Xenopus tropicalis: one gene and its partners. The protein of the gene in region 2 purifies or fractionates together with the protein of the main gene of each other region. This does not show direct contact. Links are inferred from orthologs where the notes say so. Each region holds a gene or a part of one and is shown on either strand. Other genes may lie near its edges. The genes, in order: vdac1, vapa, rab3gap2, miga2, fam83g, osbpl11 and acbd5.

Region 1 (3,390 bases), on a different chromosome or scaffold from region 2:
CATGATTACACAACTTCCAGTAACAGAATATTGTGTGTATACTTCTCTGACTTACAGGAATTTACAAGCTCAGGATCAGCGAATGCAGAGACTAACAAAGTTGCTGGCAGCTTGGAAACCAAATACAAATGGGCAGAATATGGCCTTACTTTCACAGAAAAGTGGAATACAGATAACACATTAGGGACAGAGATCACTGTAGAAGACCAGGTAAATATCCTAATTTGAGATAATTTAACTCTGGAACTTGTGAGTAAGATATGTCTTACAATTTAAATACATAATATGTTTTCTCTTTAGCTTGCAAAGGGTCTGAAGCTGACATTTGACTCTTCATTTTCTCCTAACACAGGGTAAGAAGAATCTGCACTTAAATAACTGAGAGTTTTTAATTATATACAGCCCTCCAAGGGGAGCATGAATTAGTAGCTGGGGGACCCAGCATGAAAGATTAGGGTAATTCCACATAGGGCTAATCAGGGGTGTAAACGTATTTGCTGTCCTAGCTATCCTTGTAACTGGCTGAATAATTACATTTATAGAACGTTCAGCATAATCAGATAACCAAAGGCCATCCACACCATCCAGTTCTTTTCAGTATCAAATTTGCCACTGACAGGCAACAGGGATGTTCCTAGATAGCATAGGTTTTTAGCTCATCTGGAACTGATTTGCCAGACTCCTTATGCTTGCTCAGCTCCACTGTAAATTTATAGGACTACTGTGAGTGAAAATAGATAGGCGTAAAGCTTACAAATAAATTATGCATGAGATCTAGGCAACATTTAAATCTGTATAGTGTAGTGGAAAGATGGCTGAAACTCTGTGTGGCTTTACTAGCAAGAGGTATTAATTATTTGTGTTATTATTAGTTACTGGTAGGATTACCTTTTGCTTTGATTTTCTGCCTCACACAACTTAGCAAGTTTTGCTGGGTTACACAAACACTTCAAAATATTGAAAAAACAGTGCATTTCACTGGGTTAAACTAATGTGACTTTGGCAAACAAAAAAGCTTTATCCAGATTTGATCCTCGCTGAATACTGGGGAGAGCTTTTGTGTAAAACTGATATGTATATAAAACATATCTTAAACAGGCGTGTAAACAGATGGGGTGGGGTGGGGGTGCATGCTTGACACCCTTGGTAGCCAAAAGACACTTCCTCAGAAGCATTAGCACCAAATTATAGCATTAGGAATATTTAGTAAGTCAAAACACACAATATATATTATAAAACAGATAAGGGAATCTATTCGCTAATAATAATTCCTAATACCAATTTATTCTTTTCTCAAACTATATAGAAAGAAGAATGCAAAAGTCAAGACTGCATACAAGCGAGAGCACCTTAACATTGGCTGTGACATGGATTTCGATATTGCTGGCCCATCAGTGCGGGGAGCTGCAGTGTTTGGCTATGAGGGATGGTTAGCTGGCTACCAAATGACTTTCGAATCCTCAAAGTCCAGAGTCTCCCAAAGCAACTTTGCAGTTGGATACAAAACTGATGAATTTCAGTTGCATACCAATGTGTAAGTCAAACAAAACATTTCTTGTATAAGCAATTCAGCACAATGTTAAAACTTTCACTGCTAATCCACATAAACATTTTTGTGATCTTTTACTTTTACCCTGTGGGGAAACATTTTGTTTTCCAAGAGATTTAGTTTGAGTCTACAATAGCTTGTAAAGGTAATGGTAATAATGAGAAAAATGGCAAATTGTGAAACACCCACAACGATGAACAATAAACAACAGTGCATTATTAATAATGTACTAAATATCCATGAATTCTAAATGTTATACTAATCAGCCAAGGAATTGCTTCTACTGTTGCGAGGGGGTGTGGACAATTGCAAATCATTTAGTGAAAAAAAGAAATAGCAAAACATTGTTGTGGTCAAATCATTGCCCTGACTATTATGAATGAATACAGGATTATCCTTTTATTATCTCATACTAATAAAAACAATTAGTGGGGCATTAACCCCCTTATAGGCTGCTGCTAGTTAAAGGTAACTAAAATAATACATTTTCAGTGACATATAAACCTGTATCGCAGAATTAAAAAAAATATATATATGACTATAATAAATATGCATATATTATAATATGGTTAAGGATTCTGAAATGATATGGGTTTTAACATACAAGGGGTCCTACTGCAGAGCATCTTATGGATTGTGTATATATATATATATATATATACTGAAACAAGCACAGCACTCCTAGGATTTAGGGTCTTATTCATAACATTCATGCACTTATTTTTTTGCCCACAATAGCATTTTTTATATTTTACATAATTAAAATAGACCAAAAAAACTATAAACAAAGACACATCTGATTTAGAAAGCCCCATATCTTCTAAGTGTAGCAATACCAGATATGGATAGTTTACCAAGATTCCTGAATGAGGTACCTGAGATATTTTTTTGCATTTGGTCATATCTAAGCATCATAGACATTTGACATAGACTTTTTAATAGAAGATAAATATTGTTTAGAGAGGTTGAACTTCAACCCTAAGTAACTTAGACTCGGCCCATATAAAGCTGACAATATAACGTATATACAACGCACATGTGCTAGGGTTCATTTCATCAGAAGAACTAACCTTTCTCATGTTTTTGGCTTGACCTAGAAGTCTGCACTAGCAGACCCAAATTTTGGTTTTAAAAAATGAAAATTTGGCTCTTAAAGTTACCAGAGGCGGCTTTTTGCCAACCCTAGTAACTGGCTGCTCACTGCCACCTGAGGCAAGGTTCTCACAGGAGCAGCCCAAATCAACCATTTATTCCTCCAGATTTTTCTGCTTCCTGGTAACTTACTTATATGGACAGGGACACCAGAGCAGCTCCATACCTGTGGAATTCATTTGCAGAGAACAGAGGCACAAAATACATTCTACAAAAAAAGTCCTCAGTTCCTGCAATGACATATCAGCCTTGCTGATCCTAATTATAAGTAACACGTTTTTATCTCAGTGAGAACCATTAACATAACATTTCACTAACATACCGATTTTATATGTTGTGTCTCGCATATCCCTATTTGGATTGTAAGCCCTACTGCATTGTGGGCCCTTTTGCATTGGTTTTTTATTGAAAAGTACAGATCATTTACAATGTTGCAGAAAATGCTGGCATGTTTTAAATTGTCCAGTAATAATAATATTTGTGGTATATTGCCAACAGAAATGACGGTACAGAGTTTGGTGGTTCTGTATATCAGAAGGTTAATGATAAACTGGAAACTGCAATCAACCTTGCATGGACAGCAGGAAACAGCAATACACGCTTCGGAATAGCAGCCAAATATCAAATCGATAGTGATGCTTCGTTTTCAGTAAGTACAAACAATGAAGCACATCTTCATAAACTTCATC
Region 2 (3,939 bases):
CCCTAACTTAGAGCTTTCTGGATAACAGGTATTGGAATAAAAGCGCAAATACCTGCATATAAAGCTTTGACATCCCCATGCTGAAACAAAATCCAGTAATACCTGAAAACTAAACTCATAACTGGGCTTATGACAAATGCCTTACTACTACATTTCTTATTGTGTTACTGGGTGACCACAGACAAAAGTTGTTTCCCCAGTGTCTGTCAGATGAATACCTGCTCCATTAGATTAAGAATACATTAAACTCAGTAGTCCATTCAGGATTTGCCCAGATCCCTGCAAGTCTCAGACAAACCTTCTGAGCCTTGCAGTGCAATTTTGTGCTCCCACATGATGCCATTAGTATAGCTCTGTAGTGGAGTTTCTCATGAAAGGTGAATAATAAAAATTAAAAAATAAATTGTTTAGATTTTTTTTTTTTTTATGACAATAAGGACTGCTACTTCCTTGGTACATGTTTGTGAAGTGCAAAATAAGAAAACAAAGAAAATAGAGAAGCACAGGTTTTTGGCTTAGTTTATAGAATTAAATTGGACATTTATGACCAGATTGGGTGTTTTTTTTTCTGCCTGCACCTAAATGTCACCTAGGATGTTTCTGCAATCCTTTGGATCACTGATGGTCTGACCAAACTAAAAATTTGATCCAAAGCATATCTTTACTTAAAACCTGTAAACCTGACATACCTCAACTCCTTGCTCCCCATTCGTAGGAGCAGATCCTGTAGTGACAGAATTTTACATTACAATGTTTGTAAAGGAGATTTAAAAATGGCAATAACAGTAATGTTTAAAACACCTGTAACCTTCTGTAATCTTAACTTTAATGTAGGCAATTATGTTTCAAATGGGCAGAGAAATTGTGAAATTGCTTATAAAAAGCAGGTGAGGCGTAGGAGAAATAAAAAAAAGAACCAATGGATTCTGGGACATTCCTGCAACAGAGAAATACTGTACTGGTAAGAGTCCAAAGTTCCCTCAGGATTACCAAAAAAAAAAAAAAAAAAAAAACACCACCACACAAACACACTATAGGGACAGCAAATCTGTGTGGTTTGAGTCAGTTTAAAAACAGTTTTGTGGCCTGAAACCTATTTTCTCAGTATGCTTTTAATTGGATTTTGGATTATATGTTAAGAAATTAAAGGAGTTGACACCCCACAACACCTGGATACCTAAGGCTAAAACAGAGAGACCTGGTGGCCAAAAATAAATGTTGTCCTTGAAACCTGCTTAGAGTTCATCCTTTCACTTGTATTATTGATCTGAAATTGTAAGATCTCACCCACCTTATATTTCCTATCACAGTATTCAGGTGGCTATACACAAGAAGATTCACTCATTTGTCCAGGTTGCCAAATGAGCAGCTCTGTGCCCAATATGGGCACCTATGTGCTTGTTTAATGCCAGTTTTCAGAGAGTTCATTTAGTTCCCAAGAAGGCTACCAATATGTGCAGGCGCTGGTGTGGTACTTCGCTTTACAAGCCAATTATATGCTGGGCCATACTGGACTGATCTTCGGGCTAATGATACAGGCGGCCAGGAGAGGACTGCATAAATGAGGCAATGTAACCCATGCCCCAATAGGCATTTACTCCTGCCTGATAGATACCTGGGCAATCTGACAGGAGGACCCATACATGGGCAGATAAAATGTTCTGAAGGGACCAAATCAGCAGTTTAAACCTGCCCATGTATGGCCAACTATACTAATTGCCTTGTCAGGAACAACAGTCTGCCTGTGCACACTTTCATCTTATGTGAATCTAACAATACTTAAATTAAATCCTGAACATTAAACAAGTTTTCTGTACAGCTGCCCAAGCAATCTATGGCTACTGACATGACTGCTCTGAGCACACACACAACCCTGTATTTATATAGCAACAACGAACACCACATCATTTTACATTGATTATATATGATTCACATAAATCCCTGCCCCAGTGTATTTTACAATGTAATGCCCAATCACACCTGAACACCACAAGTCAAATAATATTTACTTATTGCTTTAGAGCTGCAAGAGTGGGAATCATGGGCCAATTAACACTTACTAAAACATTTCATGTAATGTATGTTTGATGTATACACCCTTCTACTGTACAGCATTGTGAAATCTGCTGGTATTGTACAATCACGTGTTATTCAGGCTGTCACTGTTAGTATTAGAAGTAAAACAAAGCACACTGTAAGCAGCTAGCACTGGCTGTCTCAGTGCCATAGACTAAAGGGCCAAGCTGCAGCCCTCCAGTGGTGGATAGGAGTGCAGCTGCCAGTACCAATGTGACAGAGATTAGCCACCCCGATTCACCACAACAGAGGCAACAGCAATCTCCACACTCTCTCCATCCATCAGAGGCCTTTTCCCCGCAAGACACAACTGGAAAGCGGGGCATTGTGGCCTCACATCCCGGAACCACATAACCAGATACGTCCCGTTACCTTTGAATTTCAGCTCGTTGGGCGGGTCAAGAATAAGGATTTGTTCGTGTTTGGACATGGTGACCCCGGGTGTAACTACCGCCATTCACCGCTCGGCTGGCCCACAACACGCAAAATAAGAGGAGGCCGCTTGTGTTACGTGGCCGAATATGAGATGTCAAATGAAGGCCCAGCAGGTAGGCAGCTGGGTGACTTAAAGAGGCAGCGAGCGCTGGAAGACAAGGCTGGAGCGGGGAGAACGGGCCAAAGCTGGCACAGCCTAGCGGTGTGGGCTCCGAGGCTCGGGTTACTATGGTCAGTTCAGTATCGGCTCTTTCCTCCTCCGCCTCCCCCCTTGCGCTCCTTGTCACCGCTGACTCAACACACAGTACAGTGCGGCAACCGCGTAATGCCCCAAGCGCGTCACGGCCGGGAGGAACACGGACTGGGTGACGTCAGCACGCACATGCGCGTAACAAGCGTGTGTCCTGGGTAACGCCCACTCGGGATTCGTCCCGTCACACACTTCCACATTAGTGCTTCAAAAACAGTACGGCGTTTTACAGCTGAGCACCGCGGAAGGGATAGCGGTTATGCTGCAACAAATGTGAAGGAAATGTTAGGGAATTTGAAACCAATACAAGTTAATGCTTATTTAGAATGAACGAGGTGTTTGTCAATTGCTTCCCTTTATGCCAGTTTTATAAACGCAGCCTATAGGCGTCGCGCTGTAGTATTCCCACAGGAACGACGTGAGACCACTCTGTAAAGCAACTTGCTCTTGCATGTTTATTGAACTATTCCACTGCATAGGTTCCATTATATTGCATATGGCAATAGACTGAATTTTTCAGTTTGGGAAAAATTGTTAAAGTTCCAGTAAAAATATAGAAAAAAAAGATGTATGTATTCATATTATGTGCATAAATTCTGGTAAAAAATGCTTTTGATTTGTTGTGGCAAAAATAGGCCCTGCCCACAATTACAAGCCGCAAGCACTTTTTAAGGGATCGCCCAAATCCACTATTTTAGGATCCGTCCAAACCCTGAACAATTTTGTGAAAGATTCGTCCAAGTACCGAACTGAATCTGAATCCTAATTTTAGGACGAGGAGGGGATAAAGTGCAGAGTAAAAAAAACTTCAACTTCCATGTTTATGTGACAAAATGTCACGTGATTTTAAGGAATCGGATTCGCTTCGGTCAGAGGCATAAATCTGCCCAAATCCAAATCCTGCTGAAAAAGGCCAAATCTTGGCAAAATACTGGATTTGGTACATCCCTACAACTTTTACATCGCCCGTCAACATGTTATGGTTTTGTCCACTTTAGAGTAAAACCATGTTGCTATTTCCATTTTACTATTTTCATCTTTGGAACAGCTTGATGCCCAGTATTCTTACATTTACCAAAGTATGTGGCATGTTGTGACCCTAATGCACCCAGCCTGCATTAGGCAGGGGGTACAACCTAATAGAAATCATAGAGTTCTATTTAACTTTTTATAACAAT
Region 3 (2,639 bases), on a different chromosome or scaffold from region 2:
CCTTTAGCTTGCCGATTGATAAGTGGCTGATGTTCGGCCAGTAACAGGGCCCACACACATATATTTGCACCTGAATGAGATGGAACATTAGATCTCTGTGCATTTTAGTAGTAACACACAAAATAATAACATTTCCTTCTCTCCTGCCCCAAGTTTTTGCTAAAGGTGATCAGTTCAGCCATCCAGACGCTGGCGGAGACTCAGGAGCCCACCCAGTCAGAGCACTCTGCAGCCGAAATCCCCGAGAAGTCAGTGGACTGGCCGGAGCTGGCTGTGGGATTGGCCCGGCACCTACAAGTGAATGAAGATACAATATGGAGACATTACGTGTGTGAGCTGTACAGCTACGGCTTCGATCACTTGGCGGAAGAGGTGAGTGTGACTTCCTGTCCTGCTCGGCCAATGAAATGTATCCGTAACGGATGTGCCAGTCTAGGATCCGGGCCAGAGCTCAGAATGGCGCCTGTATCCTTGCACGTAGGTAATATCCCTCTCGCTGTGTCTCCTTGGCAGGCCATTCTCCGAGTACTGGACAAGGAGGTGCTGGCGTCTCAGCTACTGGTGCTCACGGGGCAGCGCCTGGCATACGCTCTGCTACACACACAAACCAAGGAGGGCATGGAGCTACTGGCAAGGCTTCCTCCCACTCTCTGCACGTGGATAAAAGCAATGGTAAGAGCCTGCGGGATGGGAGGAGCATGGAACGGTCACTACATTATTATAGCACAAAAGTATAGTAGTAAGGTAGGCCTTACTGTATGCTGGAAACCAGAGAGCCGCCATATTGCTTGTCTGAGAGCCGCCATATTGCTTGTCTGGGCATGGGAATTCCCACAGACAATACAGCAGCACCACTTGCGCTAAACAGATGCTGCTGCCGATGTAGGACCCCCTCCCAGAGAACATTATAGTACAGGTATGGGACCTATTATCCAGAAGGCTCGGGACCTGGGGTTTTTCGGATAAGGGATCTTTCCATAATTTGGATCTGCATAACTTAAGTCTGCTAAAAATCATTTACATATTGAATAAACCCAATAGGGCTGTTCTGCCCCAATAAGGGGTAATTATATCTTAGTTGGGATCAAGTACAGGTACTGTTTTATTATTACAGAGAAAAGGGAATCATTTAACCATGAAATAAACCCAATAGGGCTGTTCTGCCCCAATAAGGGGTAATTATATCTTAGTTGGGATCAAGTACAGGTACTGTTTTATTATTACAGAGAAAAGGGAATCATTTAACCATGAAATAAACCCAATAGGGCTGTTCTGCCCCAATAAGGGGTAATTATATCTTAGTTGGGATCAAGTACAGGTACTGTTTTATTATTACAGAGAAAAGGGAATCATTTAACCATGAAATAAACCCAATAGGGCTGTTCTGCCCCAATAAGGGGTAATTATATCTTAGTTGGGATCAAGTACAGGTACTGTTTTATTATTACAGAGAAAAGGGAATCATTTAACCATTAAATAAACCCAATAGGGCTGTTCTGCCCCCAATAAGGGGTAATTATATCTTAGTTGGGATCAAGTACAGGTACTGTTTTATTATTACAGAGAAAAAGGGAATCATTTTCAAAAATAAGAATTATTTTCTTATAATGGAGTCATTTCCATTTCCATAATTCGGAACTTTCAGGATAATGGGTTTCTGGATAAGGGATCCCATACCTGTACAGTACTAGTAAATGACATCCTTTCATCTATTTCAGGACCCCCAGGAGCTGCAGAACACGAATGTGCCAATCGACGCTACAGCAAAGCTCGTGGATAAAGTGGTTGAACTGTTGCCTGAGAACCACGGCCAGTACAGTCTTGCCTTAAACCTGATAGAGGCTGTGGAAGCCATGTCTTGATTGGCCTTAGCGCCATGACCTGGGGGTGGGGGACGGGGAAAGAGATTCCTGCATGTAAGATAGAGCGGTTGCTTTGGGGTTTCAGGGCTTTTTGTAAGATAAGTGTCGGCACTAGCACCGCGTTCATAATTCCTCATCGTTCCTTTTAATCCTCGGCCAATAAGGTCTCGCCTATCATGAATATGCAAGTATATATGTTCCGTGTCGCTCTGTCCCACAGAGATCCTTATTTATTGCAATCTATGATTTATACATAAAGTTTCATCGTGAATCACTACGTGCAATAGGCCCCTTAGGGCAGCGGCACTCGTGTCTCATCGCAGCCATTCCCCATAAGGAATAATCCTGCCCACAAGCAGCCCCCAGAACCCCCCGTATGTGCCAAAGCCCCTAATGAGGCCCAACATCGATTTGTAATCAGATTCTCTCATTCTGGGAGCAAAGCAAGAAATCAAATGACATATCCCTTAGTTACATCACCAAACGCAGGCCAATCCTAGCAGCCAACTCAGCCAACAGCCGGCCCCTGTGTGTGGGGCAAACAGCCGGCCCCTGTGTGTGGGGCAAACAGCCGGCCCCTGTGTGTGGGGCAAACAGCCGGCCCCTGTGTGTGGGGCAAACAGCCGGCCCCTGTGTGTGGGGCAAACAGCCGGCCCCTGTGTGTGGGGCAAACAGCCGGCCCCTGTGTGTGGGGCAAACAGCCGGCCCCTGTGTGTGGGGCAAACAGCCGGCCCCTGTGTGTGGGGCAAACAGCCGGCCCTGTGTGTGGGGCAAACA
Region 4 (4,182 bases), on a different chromosome or scaffold from region 2:
TCCGACCTGCAGCTCCCTCCATCGTTCCGCTGCGTCTGTTCCCCGTCTCCCCGCTGCATCCTTTTTATGGTTGCGCCCCCTGCGCACGAGCACGCACGAAGCGCAACCAATCAGGGCCCAGAAATTATTTAAAGGGACCCGGAGTCGGCGGGCCGGATTAAAAAGGCCAACGGGCCGGATGTGGCCCGCGGGCCGTAGTTTGCCCACCTCTGGTTTAGCCACTACTGGCTCAGTCTCTCTGAGGATTCAGTTCCACACTCCACTCCTGGAGGAAATACCCTTTCCCAGTTCAGTCCTGGCAAAGTCCCTTCCCCAGAGCTCTTTTAGTTTCCCAGGTAGTGCTACCCGCCCCAAAGTACCTCTCCCTTTGGAATAGGCAGTTGCTCCCACATAGCAGGCCCTGAGAAACACCTGTCCTCACACAGGGGACACACACAGGAGACTTCCAATACCTTTCCCTCAGATGGATCACTCACTGGGATCTGCAGGGGGTAAAGGCATCCAACAGCAGTGTAGCAGATCTCTCTTTACAGGCACTCAAATCCTTCACACTGTCACTGCTTACTGGATCTCTCTGTCTCAACTCTGGCAAAACAACAGGGGCTCCCTTTATAAGCTGCTGGGCCCCCCCTGATTTTTGGCTCCAAACCTAGGCACACCGTTCTCTCCCATCAGCGCACTGGGGCAGGGCCGGCCTTAGGCCGATTGGACCTATTACCTGCAATTGGGCCCCGCACCCCGGAATCAGTTTTAATAGCGCATCCCGCTGTCCCGGATAGTGCCATGTACTAAGGGGGCCCCGTAAAAATGGCTCCAATTGGGCCCCACAGTTGGTAAGGGCGGCCCTGCACTGGGGCACCCAGCCAATCGGGTTCCTCCCCAGTCTGTAGCCAGGCGGGATAATGTCACAGACTCAGAAACAGGGGAAAGAGTTCTCTTGATCCCCTACAATACGTTGATCCCCCCCAAACCCATATATTTTTGGAAAGTACACATTCGGGTGAATTCAAAATGGGCACCCATGTCTGTCTAATGCCTTACTTACACACCTACAACCCCCCCCCATCCATAACCAGAGACCTTTCCTGCTGCCACAGCCCACTCACATTCGATAGATAGCTTTAGTTTCCACACACACTGCCCTAGAGTCAAATACCCCCCACAGACAAACCTAGCGCAGCTCATCCCACCACCCCCCATAGAACTAACCCAATCTGCCGTCAAAACAAAAAAGTACACAAACCCCCCCAATGGAAACACTGCCTGTATCGAGCCGCTCTCTCCGCGGCTTCCGAGTAAACCATTGAGCCCGCACTCACCTACACTCTATCTACAGCCGTTTGAAAAAAGCGCTGAATGTTAAGTGTGGAGACGTCACCACGTACTCACGTTTTGTGATGTCACTCGCGACCATTTGCAACTAGGAACTGGCAGCTGCGCGGAGACGCTAGAGAGCGGAGGAGAAGCTTGTCCTTCTGAGGAGTGAGAGGGTGAGTGACTGCCGGTCCCTGAATAACAGCTCTGGAACTGTTTATGCTTAGGGCCGGGCACTGGTACCGCGCTGATCTTGCTGCGTTAGAATATACATCACCGTTTCGATACATATGTCTGGGTTTCGCCTGTGCGAACTCACAGAGCTGCAGTGTTCTGGAACCTAGTGACTGGCAGCTGAGCCTCTATGGGCTCCAGCCACTTGATCACTAGTTAGTTCTCCCAATGGGCCCCGGATTGACAGGAAGCTCAGTGCAGTTGCCCATAGTAACCAAACACAAGCAGTGATGTGTCTTAACTTTACTTTGCCCCGCAGGCAGATATGTGTAGGGCCACTAGTGGGGAGGAATTGGTTATTGTGTATCAGTGGGACACACCAGTCAGGCGACTGCCACACCATGATGCCATTTTTGTGCCAAACTCATCAGCTGAGCCTGTCATTACTTATTATGTCACCCCCCTGTGACCAGTGGTGATGAGTAGATTTCTCCCTGAAGCCTCTCAACAGCGGCCGGAGAATTCCTTCATCCTCTCTTGTGTGCCATAACCCTTGTGCTGCCGCTCATGTCTTAAAAATACCCTAGTGATAAAGTCCTTATATTAGGCTCAGTTTTATCAGGGGCCATTTAACCACCCAGTATATTTTTGGGGTGTGGGAGGAAAGCAGAGTGCCCTGAGGAAACACACAGAGACAGGTCTGGATTGGGACTCAAAATAGGCCCTGACCCCCACAGGCCCAATAAATAGCAACTGTCTATGGCATCTTACAGCAGCCCCTCTGGCATTTGCCATATTCTCCAGATTGCCAGTCCAGGCCTGAAGAGAGATCATACAATTTCTTGCAGCTATTGCCCTGGCTAAAATCAAACCCCCAGCACTACAAGGCAACATACTAACTGTCACTGCACCTCATCTCCTGGAAACTGCAGAGGTCAAAGCATGTGGCTGCATTTATATGAATATATATATATATATATACAGTGGCTTGCAAAAGTATTCGGCCCCTTGAACTTTTCCACATTTTGTCACATTACAGCCACAAACATGAATCAATTTTATTGGAATTCCACGTGAAAGACCAATACAAAGTGGTGTACACGTGAGAAGTGGAACGAAAATCATACATGATTCCAAACATTTTTTATAAATAAATAACTGCAAAGTGGGGTGTGCGTAATTATTCAGCCCCCTGAGTCAATACTTTGTAGAACCACCTTTTGCTGCAATTACAGCTGCCAGTTTTTTAGGGTATGTCTCTACCAGCCTTGCACATCTAGAGACTGAAATCCTTGCCCATTCTTCTTTGCAAAACAGCTCCAGCTCAGTCAGATTAGATGGACAGCGTTTGTGAACAGCAGTTTTCAGATCTTTGACTGGGCCATTGTAACACATGGATATGTTTTGTTTTAAACCATTCCATTGTTGCCCTGGCTTTATGTTTAGGGTCGTTGTCCTGCTGGAAGGTGAACCTCCGCCCCAGTCTCAAGTCTTTTGCAGACTCCAAGAGGTTTTCTTCCAAGATTGCCCTGTATTTGGCTCCATCCATCTTCCCATCAACTCTGACCAGCTTCCCTGTCCCTGCTGAAGAGAAGCACCCCCAGAGCATGATGCTGCCACCACCATATTTGACAGTGGGGATGGTGTGTTCAGAGTGATGTGCAGTGTTAGTTTTCCGCCACACATAGCGTTTTGCATTTTGGCCCAAAAGTTTCATTTTGGTCTCATCTGACCAGAGCACCTTCTTCCACATGTTTGCTGTGTCCTCCACAGGGCTTGTGGCAAACTGCAAACTGGACTTCTTATGGTTTTCTGTTAACAATGGCTTTCTTCTTGCCCACTCTTCCATAAAGGCCAACTTTGTGCAGTGCACGACTAATAGTTGTCCTATGGACAGATTCCCCCACCTGAGCTGTAGATCTCTGCAGCTCGTCCAGAGTCACCATGGGCCTCTTGGCTGCATTTCTGATCAGCGCTCTCCTTGTTCGGCCTGTGAATTTAGGTGGACAACCTTGTCTTGGTAGGTTTACAGTTGTGCCATACTCCTTCCATTTCTGAATGATCGCTTGAACAGTGCTCTGTGGGATGTTCAAGGCTTTGGAAATCTTTTTGTAGCCTAAGCCTTTTTTTAAATTTCTCAATAACTTTATCCCTGACCCGTCTGGTGTGTTCTTTGGACTTCATGGTGTTGTTGCTCCCAAAATTCTCTTAGACAACCTCTGAGGCCGTCACAGAGCAGCTGTATTTGTACTGACATTAGATTACACACAGGTGCACTCTATTTAGTCATTAGCACTCATCAGGCAATGTCTATGGGCAACTGACTGCACTCAGACCAAAGGGTCTCAGGATCTCAAAGGGTCTGCACTCAGACCAAAGAATAATTACGCACACCCCACTTTGCAGTTATTTATTTGTAAAAAATGTTTGGAATCATGTATGATTTTCATTCCACTTCTCACGTGTACACCACTTTGTATTGGTCTTTCACGTGGAATTCCAATAAAATTGATTCATGTTTGTGGCTGTAATGTGACAAAATGTGGAAAAGTTCAAGGGGGCCGAATACTTTTGCAAGTCACTGTGTGTGTGTGTGTATATATATATATATATATATATATACACACACACACACACACACCGCACACATTTATTTCATGCATGCAATATATAATCAGAAATGTTTTTTTTTTT
Region 5 (4,160 bases), on a different chromosome or scaffold from region 2:
GGTAAGATCTCAGACCCCTGTTGTCTGAATGCTCTGTTCTAAAGGTAGGTAGAATCTCAGCCATAAAGTGTAACAGAACTGCTGTGCTGGAGAGAAAGAAATAGAAGGCAGTTGGAAGCCACAAGAGAAGAAGCTGACCCACTCAGGACTGTGGGAGGCCCCTTCAGAGCCCAGACTTACAATTTCAATAAATGTTTATGGATAAGATCATTTTTAGTAAGATTTGGAAGGACCTAAAATACTTTTCATGTGTTCTATAATTTTTTTGTGGCTGGAACTGGAGGAACAGGAGGCCCCCTAACAATACAGGAAGGTTTGGGCTCCTGTTTGGCCAGGGCATTATATATGCTTCCTCCCACACTCCAAAACCATACAGGCAGGTTAATTGGCTTCCAATAAAAAAAATGGCCCCTCTGTATCTAAATATGATAGGGACATTAGATCAAGTCAACAGCTGAACTGGAGTATCTATAGAACATTGCCCATGGTGATAATGTCCCCTTACAGGAGAACTCTACCTGAAAAAGGAGCATCTATCTATCTATCTATCTATCTATCTATCTGTTTATATTGTCTATTCTTCTGCTTCTGACTCCTGAAACAATATAGCAGATGTCAATCTTTCAATGAACTTTTAGTATGAAATGCTATTCTGAGGCAATTTTCAATTGTTCTTTCATTTTTATTAGTTCAGTTTTTGAACTATTTAGCATCCTGTTCAGCAGCTCTCCAGTTTGGAATTTCAGGTGCTATCTGGTTGCTAGGGTCCAGTTTAACCCAGCAACCTGGCAGTTATTTGGAAAAGAGACAGGAATATGAATAGAGGAGGGAGTAAATAGACAAATAAGTAATAAAAAGTAACAATAAGACTGTAGCCTCACTTGTTACTTGACTGCCGGGGTCAGTGACCCCCATTAGAAAGCTGGAAAGTGTCCGAAGAGAAAGGCAAATAGTTTATAAACAATAAAAAATGAAGACCAATAGGAAAGTTGTTAAGAATAGGCCATTCTATAACATATTAAGTTAACCTAAAGGTGAAGCACCCTTTAAACAGGACAGACCGCCATTACTTTGTTTTGCTAGTCAGAACCAGAGTGCAGAAATGGATAACAAAACAGTTTTCAATAACAAATAGTTTTAAAACGAAAGGCAATTTTTAATGAAACTATGGTGGAACATTGCTTAGAAAACACGTGTTCTGTTTTTATGCAGTAAACAGTGTTTGGGTGGAGTTGCCCTTTAGAGCAGAGGCAGCTGAGGAACCAACTCATTACAACTTTGTTTAGGGCGTGTCAGTGCCGGGATGGGCGGGGTTATGGCTGCACGTCACATGATGGGGCGGTGCTCTGTTCCCTACCTGTAAGTTGTGTGAGGAGAGGATCAGTGAGGGGAGCGCTGCCGGCAGGCAGGAGTCGGGGAGAGAGCGGGTATCTGCCGAGGGGCAGCAGGGCACACCATGGCGCTGTCACAGCTCCAATGCCTGGACAATAACCATGTGAACTGGAGGGCCAGCGAGAGCAAAGCCGAGTTCTTCTACAGCGAGGAGCAGAGGCTGGCCCTGGAGGCGCTGCTGGCCCGGGGGACCGACGCTTTCTATGGGGTCGTCAAGCAGGAGAACATCAGGGACTTCCTCTCCGAGCTGGAGCTGAGCAGGATCGCCGGCCGGCTGGAGCCCTTTGACCCCGACTCTGGCCACTGCAGGGCGGCCGGGGAGGATGGCGAGCTGGATAGTGGGGAGGAAGAGGAGGATGGGGGGCAGTCGCTGGAGTACTGGCCCGAAAGATCGGACTGTTCCATTCCAGAGCTGGACTTGGGCTGGCCCGAAGCTGTAGCCTATCGGGGGGTGACCAGGGCCACGGTGTACATGCAGCCCCCGGTAGATGGGCAGCCCCATATCAAGGAGGTGGTCAGGAAGATGATCAACCAGGCGCAGAAGGTGAGTTATAGTTGCACCTATGTAACTTCTGTCTGCCTGTCCAGCAGTCTCTCTCATTCTGTCTGTCTGCCTGTCTAGCAGTCTCTCTCATTCTGTCTGTCTGCCTGTCCAGCAGTCTCTCTCATTCTGTCTGTCTAGCAGTCTCTCTCATTCTGTCTGTCTACCAGTCTCTCTCATTCTGTCTGCCTGTCCAGCAGTCTCTCTCATTCTGTCTGTCTAGCAGTCTCTCTCATTCTGTCTGTCTACCAGTCTCTCTCATTCTGTCTGCCTGTCCAGCAGTCTCTCTCATTCTGTCTGTCTAGCAGTCTCTCTCATTCTGCCTGTCCAGCAGTCTCTCTCATTCTGTCTGTCTGTCCAGCAGTCTGGCTCCTTCTGCCTGTCCAGCAGTCTCTCTCATGCTGTCTCTCTGTCCAGCAGTCTCTCTCATGCTGTCTCTCTCATGCTGTCTGTCTGTCCAGCAGTCTGTCTCCTTCTGGCTGTCTGTCTGTCCAGCAGTCTGTCTCCTTCTGTCTGTCTGTCCAGCAGTCTGTCTCCTTCTGGCTGTCTGTCTGTCCAGCAGTCTGTCTCCTTCTGGCTGTCTCTCACTTTATACATATCTCATGTGTCTGTCTATCTTTCTCTAAGCCTGATATAGACAGACAGAGGGAGATCTATAGGAGACTGCCAGGCAGTGGAGTGATTGTCTGTAGCCACCTGTGACTCCATCTCTCCAACAGTCTGTCTGTCTAACAGCCTCTGGCAACTTGCTGCCCTGCCAGCTGTTGAACTACAACTCCGGCTGTCAGGCAGTCGCTGGGAGTTGCAGTCCATCAATATGGTGAGATATTGCCAGAGGCTGATCTATGGTTTTGCCGTGTTGGCACGTTGCGCCTATCTATAAACTGACACAGTCGCCAATAATCCACGTAGCGCAGACCAAGGTATAGTCATTGAACTCCCATTCTGCTTATATAATACTCTAGGAATTTCCTTCTTGCCCTTGGTCTGTTGGGGGTGCTGGGAGTTTTAGTTGAAAAACAAGATTCCGATACAACTCTGGGAGTTTTAGTTCAACACAAGTGCGTGGATTCCGATACAACTCCCTGTAGGGGTGCTGGGAGTTTTAGTTCAACACAAGTGCGTGGATTCCGATACAACTCCTGGTAGGGGTGCTGGGAGTTTTAGTTCAACACAAGTGCGTGGATTCTGATACAACTCCCTGTAGGGGTGCTGGGAGTTTTAGTTCAACACAAGTGCGTGGATTCTGATACAACTCCCTGTAGGGGTGCTGGGAGTTTTAGTTCAACACAAGTGCGTGGATTCCGATACAACTCCTGGTAGGGGTGCTGGGAGTTTTAGTTCAACACAAGTGCGTGGATTCCGATACAACTCCTGGTAGGGGTGCTGGGAGTTTTAGTTCAACACAAGTGCGTGGATTCTGATACAACTCCCTGTAGGGGTGCTGGGAGTTTTAGTTCAACACAAATGCGTGGATTCCAATACAACTCCCTGTAGGGGTGCTGGGAGTTTTAGTTCAACACAAGTGCGTGGATTCCAATACAACTCCCTGTAGGGGTGCTGGGAGTTTTAGTTCAACACAAGTGCGTGGATTCCAATACAACTCCCTGTAGGGGTGCTGCCGGAATGGGTTGATCCACCCGTGTGATTCCCCTAGGGACCTGCTTCATTGCTCAGGAATGCTGACATTCCCCCGAGGTGCAAAGCAGGGGAACATGGGGGTGAGACACTTCCCGTAGGAGGAAAGCCATTTCCTGTAGAAGGGTGGTGCCACCCATTGCCCAACTTGTTTGGGAGAATTGCACCCATGCCCCTTGATTGAGGATTCACCGTAAGGTGATGCAATAGAAACCTTCAGCCGTATGTATTTAGAAGACTTGGGCACGGCTATGGGCACACAGGGCAATTTGGCAACTATGGTTTAGGTGCTGGGGTCCATCTCACCCCCATGGCATAAGCTTGCAGGGAACAGACATGTGACTCGGGGTACGGGCACCAAGCTGCTTGTACGCCCAGGATGTGATCCTTTTATTGCCCGGCAGGCAGTGGTGCCAACCTGTATGCCAAACCTTTCTTCACCTTCTGTCAACAAAAGCAGCAGATTAAAACTTTTTAAAGACGCACAGCTCTGTTATAGAGAGAATAGCCAGTGTAGTGAGATCCTTGCAGGGGCCCCTGACGTACATTGCTTTTGTTTAACGGACAGAAGTCTGTATATGAGCCTGAA
Region 6 (3,500 bases), on a different chromosome or scaffold from region 2:
GGAGACAAACCCACTCACACACCCAGAACGACATCCTTAGTGGGAGACAAACCCACTTACACACCCAGACCGACATCCAGTGGAGAAACCCCACCCAGAACGACATCCCTAGTGGGAGACAAACCCACTCACACACCCAGAACGACATCCCTAGTGGGAGACAAACCCACTTACACACCCAGACCGACATCCCTAGTGGGAGACAAACCCACTCACACACCCAGAACGACATCCCTAGTGGGAGACAAACCCACTCACACACCCAGAACGACATCCTTAGTGGGAGACAGACCCACTCACACACTCAGAACGACATCCCTAGTGGCAGACAGACCCACTCACACACCCAGAATGACATCCCTAGTGGGAGACAAACCCACTCACACACCCAGAACGACATCCCTAGTGGGAGACAAACCCACTCACACACCCAGAACGACATCCTTAGTGGGAGACAGACCCACTCACACACTCAGAACGACATCCCTAGTGGGAGACAGACCCACTCACACACCCAGAATGACATCCCTAGTGGGAGACAAACCCACTCACACACCCAGAACGACATCCCTAGTGGGAGACAAACCCACTCACACACCCAGAACGACATCCTTAGTGGGAGACAGACCCACTCACACACTCAGAACGACATCCCTAGTGGGAGACAGACCCACTCACACACCCAGAATGATATTAGTAAGGGTCAATACACATTGATCTCACTACCTTCTCCAATCATGGTCACGCCAATGGACATCCCCATGAATTTGCTCTTTGTCCAGATGTGGGTGTTGACACACATTCGGCGCTCCGGACACTCAGCATAGAACCCTGAGACCGGAGGATGATGGGAGACCTGCTCAGCCACAAACCTAATGGTGTAAGAGTCTGGTTTATTTGAGTCCTCCACAAGCGGGGCCTGATCCTGTGCTTTGGGGGGCTTCTCTGTGGGGTTAGAAAGCTGCAGAGAATCTTTGGGTACCCTCCAGGAGCAGTGAAATGTCTCCCCAATGATTGGGTTGTATGGCTTTTTGGCCAGCGCCCCCTTGCGTCCTTCATGGAAGGAGGTCAGGTAATATTCCACAAATCTCACCATGCGCTCCTCGGGGGTGAGGCCAGCGCTGATAGACAGGAAGAGGTCTGGGTGGGACAGGAAGTCGGCGTACATCTCTAGCAAGGAGCGTTTCTCCAGGATGAAAGTGGGGAGGACCACCTAGGAAAGAGAAACATGGAGTCAGTCTCTGGGTGAGTGAGAGAATGGAAGCTCCTGGGAGCACTGCCTTACCCGGGTCAGATCCATGCCCAGTTTGAGCTGGGATAAGAGATGCAAAATGACGCTGCGCTGCTCCTCCACGGCCCCCAACTCATCCTCTTTGAGATCACACCCGTCCTCCACCTCATCCTCTGGGTTTATGTCTTCAGGTTCCTATGGGACACAATGGGACTATGGGAGACAAATCCTGGGCTTCCCGCTCACACCCAACTTCTACTCAGTTTCCCTTTTTCTCCCACTTAAAGGAACGAAACCCCCAAAAATGACTCTGTAAACTAATTCAGAGTGCTCCTCTGAGCACATTTGCATTTTTGTGGTATCGGAGATATTTGCAGTTTTAGACTGCTAATACAAGGCCTTGGGCTCGGCAGCTCTTAAGAGTATCAGGGAGCCCCGAGGCAGAGAATGTTAGTTCAGTGTAATCCTACAGAAAGGAATAGGAATGTACCAATCAGTGCAACCCCAGCAAAGAAACAACTTCCACCACCTTTTTATTTCTTTGCCCCCCCCCCCGTACCCCACAGACCTTACCCCAGAAGCCAGGGTGCTATCAGACAGGGCCTGCGTCTCTCTCAGAAGCTCTTGCTCTTGGCTTTCCGGCAGCGCCAGGCCGGACTCCTCCCCATTATTCAGATGATTGGGAATTTGGATTTTCGCTTCCAGCCAATTGATCGCTGTACCTGGAGTGAGAGGAAATTTGCTCATAATCCAGAAGAAGCAGAGCGCTCAGTGGGCACAGTGTGGGCAGCCGGGGGCTCCTTGGCAACCCATATAACCCAGATGCTGCGGGCACGAGCGGGCACCAGTCTGCCAGGTAACTCGTTTCTAATTGTTCAGCTGCATCTCCAACAGGCAGCACCTTTCCCAGCCATTAGCATACTGCAATACGATTGGCTGGAGAGTGTCACCTGAATCTGCCGGCACAGTCTGGGAACCCGATACGGGGGGGTGTAAAGCGACACGGTGACAGGAAGAGAGCCCAGTGTCCTGTACATGACCCAGATGTGGCGGCGCCAGGTCCCAGGCTGACAGAACCGAGAGGCACAAGTAGTGCCCAGGCCCAGCTGGGAAGAGCCTAACTGCCCCCTAGTGCCCCCTGACCCTCCCACAAGCAGAGAAATGATAGGGACCCAGCGCAGGGCACTTTCAGCTGTGACCCCCCCTGGAAAGAGACTCGGAGCTCCCGTTACCTCCCGACTAATCTGCCAATCACATGAATTATTCACTTGTTCCATTCTCAGGCTGCGGCTCATCCAAGCAACATGTGCCCCCCCCCCCCCGACTGCTTAACATTTACTGACCCCATTTACAGAAAGTCACTCGGCTGCTGAGTCACATGGAGAGGTGTCACAATTCTCCCCCTTTCCCTATTATTATTATTCTCATTACATATGCTAAGGATCTGCTCGTCTGGCCGCCTCCCTATCTGCCCCTTTGGCCACAAACTACCAATCAGATCATTCAGCCCAGGGGGCCATTGATTGTAGATCATGTCCATTGGGTCCTTAGCCAAAAGGAGTTCCCAGCCAGCCCAACCAGAATACAAATGAATCCTGGTCGGCTATATGGAGCTTTTTGGGTTACTATGGCTACCAAGAGTGGCCGAGTCAGCAGCCAATGCCCCCCCGGGTATGGGTGCCCCCTATAACAAGACTCCATGCCTGAAAAACACAGTACCAGCCAATAAAAATCACTTTATATGGCTTCTGGCAGCCTTTGGTTTTTATGGGCATTACTTGCCAATCCATACACATGGGGGGTTCTCTTTGTGCCAAACTATCTAAATTTTACCGATTATGTTGGGGAAAGTTACCTTGGTCTTCATTTTTTATTATTTGTAGTTTTTTAGTTATTATCTTTTCAGTTCAGCGGCTATTTGGTTGCTAGGGTCCAAGCGACCTTAGCAACCAGGGAGTGGTTTGGATGAGAGGCTGGTATATGAATAGGGGAGGGGCTGAATAGAAAAATAAGTTATAAAAAGTAACAATAGAACTGGAGCCTCACAGAGCAATAGGGTTTGGCTGCCGGGGTCAGTGACCCCCATTTGAAAGCTGCAGAAGAAGAAGAAAAAAGGCAAATAATTCATTAATTACTATAAAAAATAAATAATGAAGACCAATTGAAAAGTTGCTTAGAATCGGCCATTCTATAACTTTACTTTTTGTTTCTTATTACTCTATACAGGCCTCTCCTATTGATCTCCTAGTTTCTTATTCACACCACTGCC
Region 7 (3,500 bases), about 80 Mb from region 2:
CATCTCTGGTGTCTTGTAAAGGCTTCTATGTGTCTGTGAATGACTTAGCCCAAATGATACACCTTCTATGCTACATCCCCCTGTAGGATTACACACTAATTTGTTATTGTTCATATACTTCCAGCTTTCCTTAAACTACCTTATTGTGCATACAACTTCCACAAGAACAGTGGTGTAGCAAAGCCCTAAAGCTCAACATACAATTAGCACATGGATCTATATTTGGTTTGGCTACCCAAGATGTGTGTTTGAAAGCCAGATTAAATGTTTTAGCCCTCATCGACTGCTTGGAGCACATTGGAAGCCTAATAATAAATTGCATGTGATTTGGTTGTGTTTCTTGTGTTGAGTTGGTTTTGTGTATGCACCTCTGTCTGCTTCAGGATCATTCACAGGACTGTGTGTGTCCGGAATGGCCACCTTATCTCCTGGCTCACTGAGACATTTGGAAGGGAGGGGAGTTGGCTCCTCTGTTACCAACTCTCTGTGGTTTCTGGTTAAACCATTAACAATACTCTCTGCAGGCTTCTCGTGTCCAGGCTGCTGTTCCACATCTTTGTCTTCTGTAAGGAAATGCAGGAAGACAACAAGACTGTATTGATTAGTAGAATATCATACAAAGGAATAAACCTTACATTAAGCCAAATGACTACAGAAAAAAAATAATTTAAAAAAATAAATACAGAGTGACCAATTAAAATAGAGTGAAATTGTGTGGGATGTGAACTTTGCCTTGTGTCCTTAAACATAGAAGTGCAGATATAAAAGCCCATTTATGACATCTTTGAATCTCACCATGGTACAATAATGTAAATTTGAGTGTGAGCCTCAAGGCTGCAGTTTACTCTCAGCGAGCACCTGTAACATAATGTGAGTTGAATATTTCTGGTATTATAGCACAGTAAGTACTACATAGCATTTAGATGAACCATTAAAGCCCCATTCTCATTACAGACTATGATCTAACTCAGCTTGACTAAGCTACTGGGTCTGAGTTGGATCACAACCGCACCCATGTCTATGAGAAAATCGGTCACCTGAATGCATTATGTAATTACATAAAAATCATCTGAGAGTGCAGCCCTTACAAATTGCTTAGTCTGCTTCAATAAGGATGGACTAGCTATGTATATGTGTTTCCAAATACCCAATAAAAAAGGAGGCTGAGGTTTCACAAACTATTACCTTGCTCGCTATGCTCACTTTCCTCTTCTTCATCTTCCTCCCTAACTTCCTTTGTTGCTGCCTGTTCTTCATCTGACTCTGCGCCGCTGTCACTGCTCTCTGCCTTGCCATTCACTGCCTTGCCATTTGGTGTAGATGTCAGGACACTGCCAAGTTCTAAAAAAAAAAAAAAAGATATTCAGTGTAGGTAACAGTAACACTGCTTGTCTAGCACAACAAGCTAACCCTGATCACAACACAGTGACTTTATTAAGCCCAATATGAAAATGATCCAATCTAAGAGGCTAAAGGTTTAAACTAATGTACCTAAACCTGATATATTTATATGTTATTCTTAAAGGGCCACTATACAAATCACTTTTTATTTTCCACATGTATATTTTTAATGGGGATTAATTATTTCCATCCCTTGGCTTTAAACCTCAGCTTCAATAATAATATTGTTGACCAGGCTTCCAGTATTAGCCTTGTCTAAACTGACACGGTCTCTTAGGCTGACTGGATCACACCTTCCTTACTTGCTTTACAATCCCCTACCAAGGAGCCAGAGAAGGGATGGGTGTGACCCGAAATCGCTGAGGGGATGGTCAGCCAAAGAGGGCCATAAATGGAGTTTACTATAGCAGATATTACTCTATAATCTTTGTCAGACTTTTCAGAAGGATACCATTAAATTGTCAGAAAAATTTGCCTCACCTCTGAGGGTAAAATGGCCCTTTAACAAAAAAAAAAGTGACAAAGAAACTAGTCCCATGATGTTAAATCAGCGAAATGTACAGAATATTAACAGTTTGAATTTTGAAAAATATACAAAATATTGTTGAAACATGCTTTACACACCGTGGAGAGTGTGATTTCCCATGTGCAACAAAATGCCCTGTAGGCTGCCATATAAATATTGCATTCATTGCCTTTAATGGTAAAGGCAGGAAGGGCAATTTTAAGTGTTTTTCATTCTGTAGAAGGACAAAATGCTCAAAATCATCGCCCGTTCAAAGTAAATGGGGTCACTGCCAAGCACTGTATTCAATCAAGTGACCAGTGTTTATCATTTAAAAACACATAGCACTGCATTTTCCAGTAAAATGCTCTGGGCTACAGTCCAGACCCATCGCTTGGCAAATATTTTAATTTAATTTGAAAAAAGTTTCTCCTACCCATGGGGTTACAAAACTCTCAAATAGTTTAAGTCTCCCTGTCGGCCATTACTCGTGTTCAAACACAAGCCACATATAAACTTAAAGGACAGGATTTTTTTCCCCTCCTACCTTCTAAAGATTTAGTCACTCTGTCCAGTCGTACTGGCATGTGAAAGGAGAGAGAAGAGAAAGATCTGATTGCTGGAGACAGACAGAGAGCAGAGAAAGAAACAATGACTATAGAGTACTATGAAACAAAACACGAGTTAAGCCCAACCTGATGTCACACCAGATCCTCGCCCATGTTTTTTGTCTTCCACTATTTCATAAAACGGACCTATGACTTGAAGCAATTCTTCCACTTTTTCCGTCACTGGCATAGTCTCAAGGATCTAGCGTCCAAAAGGCAATATGTCATAAAACAGTAAAGAGGCAAAGTCATGTTGCTTTGTCCACTCACTTTTTCTCTGTCTGTAGATTCATTAAAAAGGATACCAAGGATACAGGGTTTGTGTTTTGCTCTATTGCATGGTTATTTGAGCAGCAAGCAGCTCATGGATTCAACATTCGGACAAATAAGGAGAAGCAGGCAGCTACTACTGTATGTTTTGCTGCAAACAAAGCAATAGTGATTAGCTGACTTCAATTCTGTATGCTCCCTATTTTTAACTTTTTCTGATACAGACACTAACTTGGTCACCAAATTATTATGACTAAATGTGAAAATAATAAAAGGAATATATATAAAAATATATATATTCTTAGTTAAAAAAAGAACTAGGTTTGCTTTATCCTTTTTACATCTTAAGGCCAATGGCACACAGCAATTTCCTGTATTTTGCCCACCACCTTTTTGGTGGAGGGCAAAACACATGAAATTGGACCAGGAGGTTTGATACTAAGTAGCTCAGTGAAGGGGTTAGGGGTCTAGACTGAAGATCAATCATACCCTCCCATATAGATTGTAAGCTCTACGGGGCAGGGACCTCCATCCTCTTGTGTCTTTGACTCTTAACTTATTGCAACTGTATTTATCTTGTATCTATCTGTATTTATTGTTGTACTTTGTATTTATCTATTATTATCTTAATAATCCCGTTTGTATTAATGTATTCTACTGTACAGCGCTGCATACATAAGTAGCGCTTTATAAATAAAGATATACATACATACATT

Evidence for each region.
Region 1: the proteins of vapa (region 2) and vdac1 fractionate together in Homo sapiens (co-fractionation; 3 studies listed by BioGRID and IntAct, with this or other methods). This does not show direct contact. The link is inferred for Xenopus tropicalis from reciprocal best matches to the Homo sapiens genes VAPA and VDAC1.
Region 3: the proteins of vapa (region 2) and rab3gap2 purify together in Homo sapiens (affinity purification with mass spectrometry; 3 studies listed by BioGRID and IntAct, with this or other methods). This does not show direct contact. The link is inferred for Xenopus tropicalis from reciprocal best matches to the Homo sapiens genes VAPA and RAB3GAP2.
Region 4: the proteins of vapa (region 2) and miga2 purify together in Homo sapiens (co-immunoprecipitation; 3 studies listed by BioGRID and IntAct, counting the BioPlex papers as one, with this or other methods). This does not show direct contact. The link is inferred for Xenopus tropicalis from reciprocal best matches to the Homo sapiens genes VAPA and MIGA2.
Region 5: the proteins of vapa (region 2) and fam83g purify together in Homo sapiens (co-immunoprecipitation; 3 studies listed by BioGRID and IntAct, counting the BioPlex papers as one, with this or other methods). This does not show direct contact. The link is inferred for Xenopus tropicalis from reciprocal best matches to the Homo sapiens genes VAPA and FAM83G.
Region 6: the proteins of vapa (region 2) and osbpl11 purify together in Homo sapiens (co-immunoprecipitation; 4 studies listed by BioGRID and IntAct, counting the BioPlex papers as one, with this or other methods). This does not show direct contact. The link is inferred for Xenopus tropicalis from reciprocal best matches to the Homo sapiens genes VAPA and OSBPL11.
Region 7: the proteins of vapa (region 2) and acbd5 purify together in Homo sapiens (co-immunoprecipitation; 4 studies listed by BioGRID and IntAct, counting the BioPlex papers as one, with this or other methods). This does not show direct contact. The link is inferred for Xenopus tropicalis from reciprocal best matches to the Homo sapiens genes VAPA and ACBD5.

The regions. Positions count from the first base shown.
Region 1 is NC_030679.2:22,887,148-22,890,537, forward strand, and holds part of vdac1 (voltage-dependent anion-selective channel protein 1), read left to right. Parts: intron 1-57; coding exon 58-210; intron 211-300; coding exon 301-353; intron 354-1,306; coding exon 1,307-1,534; intron 1,535-3,199; coding exon 3,200-3,350; intron 3,351-3,390. UniProt on the Homo sapiens protein: Non-selective voltage-gated ion channel that mediates the transport of anions and cations through the mitochondrion outer membrane and plasma membrane.
Region 2 is NC_030682.2:104,674,008-104,677,946, reverse strand, and holds the start of vapa (vesicle-associated membrane protein-associated protein A), read right to left. Parts: upstream 2,801-3,939; 5' UTR 2,507-2,800; coding exon 2,449-2,506; intron 1-2,448. UniProt on the Homo sapiens protein: Endoplasmic reticulum (ER)-anchored protein that mediates the formation of contact sites between the ER and endosomes via interaction with FFAT motif-containing proteins such as STARD3 or WDR44.
Region 3 is NC_030681.2:10,598,879-10,601,517, forward strand, and holds the end of rab3gap2 (rab3 GTPase-activating protein non-catalytic subunit), read left to right. Parts: intron 1-153; coding exon 154-372; intron 373-513; coding exon 514-672; intron 673-1,718; coding exon 1,719-1,862; 3' UTR 1,863-2,139; downstream 2,140-2,639. UniProt on the Homo sapiens protein: Regulatory subunit of the Rab3 GTPase-activating (Rab3GAP) complex composed of RAB3GAP1 and RAB3GAP2, which has GTPase-activating protein (GAP) activity towards various Rab3 subfamily members (RAB3A, RAB3B, RAB3C and RAB3D), RAB5A and RAB43, and guanine nucleotide exchange factor (GEF) activity towards RAB18.
Region 4 is NC_030684.2:21,660,416-21,664,597, forward strand, and holds the start of miga2 (mitoguardin 2), read left to right. Parts: upstream 1-1,382; 5' UTR 1,383-1,490; intron 1,491-4,182. UniProt on the Homo sapiens protein: Regulator of mitochondrial fusion: acts by forming homo- and heterodimers at the mitochondrial outer membrane and facilitating the formation of PLD6/MitoPLD dimers. May act by regulating phospholipid metabolism via PLD6/MitoPLD.
Region 5 is NC_030685.2:18,622,776-18,626,935, reverse strand, and holds the start of fam83g (protein FAM83G), read left to right. Parts: upstream 1-1,360; 5' UTR 1,361-1,456; coding exon 1,457-1,936; intron 1,937-4,160. UniProt on the Homo sapiens protein: Substrate for type I BMP receptor kinase involved in regulation of some target genes of the BMP signaling pathway. Also regulates the expression of several non-BMP target genes, suggesting a role in other signaling pathways.
Region 6 is NC_030685.2:89,887,235-89,890,734, forward strand, and holds part of osbpl11 (oxysterol-binding protein-related protein 11), read right to left. Parts: intron 1,954-3,500; coding exon 1,805-1,953; intron 1,427-1,804; coding exon 1,286-1,426; intron 1,214-1,285; coding exon 727-1,213; intron 1-726. UniProt on the Homo sapiens protein: Plays a role in regulating ADIPOQ and FABP4 levels in differentiating adipocytes and is also involved in regulation of adipocyte triglyceride storage. Weakly binds 25-hydroxycholesterol. Interacts with OSBPL9 to function as lipid transfer proteins.
Region 7 is NC_030682.2:24,939,412-24,942,911, forward strand, and holds part of acbd5 (acyl-CoA-binding domain-containing protein 5), read right to left. Parts: intron 2,717-3,500; coding exon 2,602-2,716; intron 2,487-2,601; coding exon of another isoform or gene 2,454-2,486; intron 1,342-2,453; coding exon 1,186-1,341; intron 564-1,185; coding exon 369-563; intron 1-368. UniProt on the Homo sapiens protein: Acyl-CoA binding protein which acts as the peroxisome receptor for pexophagy but is dispensable for aggrephagy and nonselective autophagy. Binds medium- and long-chain acyl-CoA esters.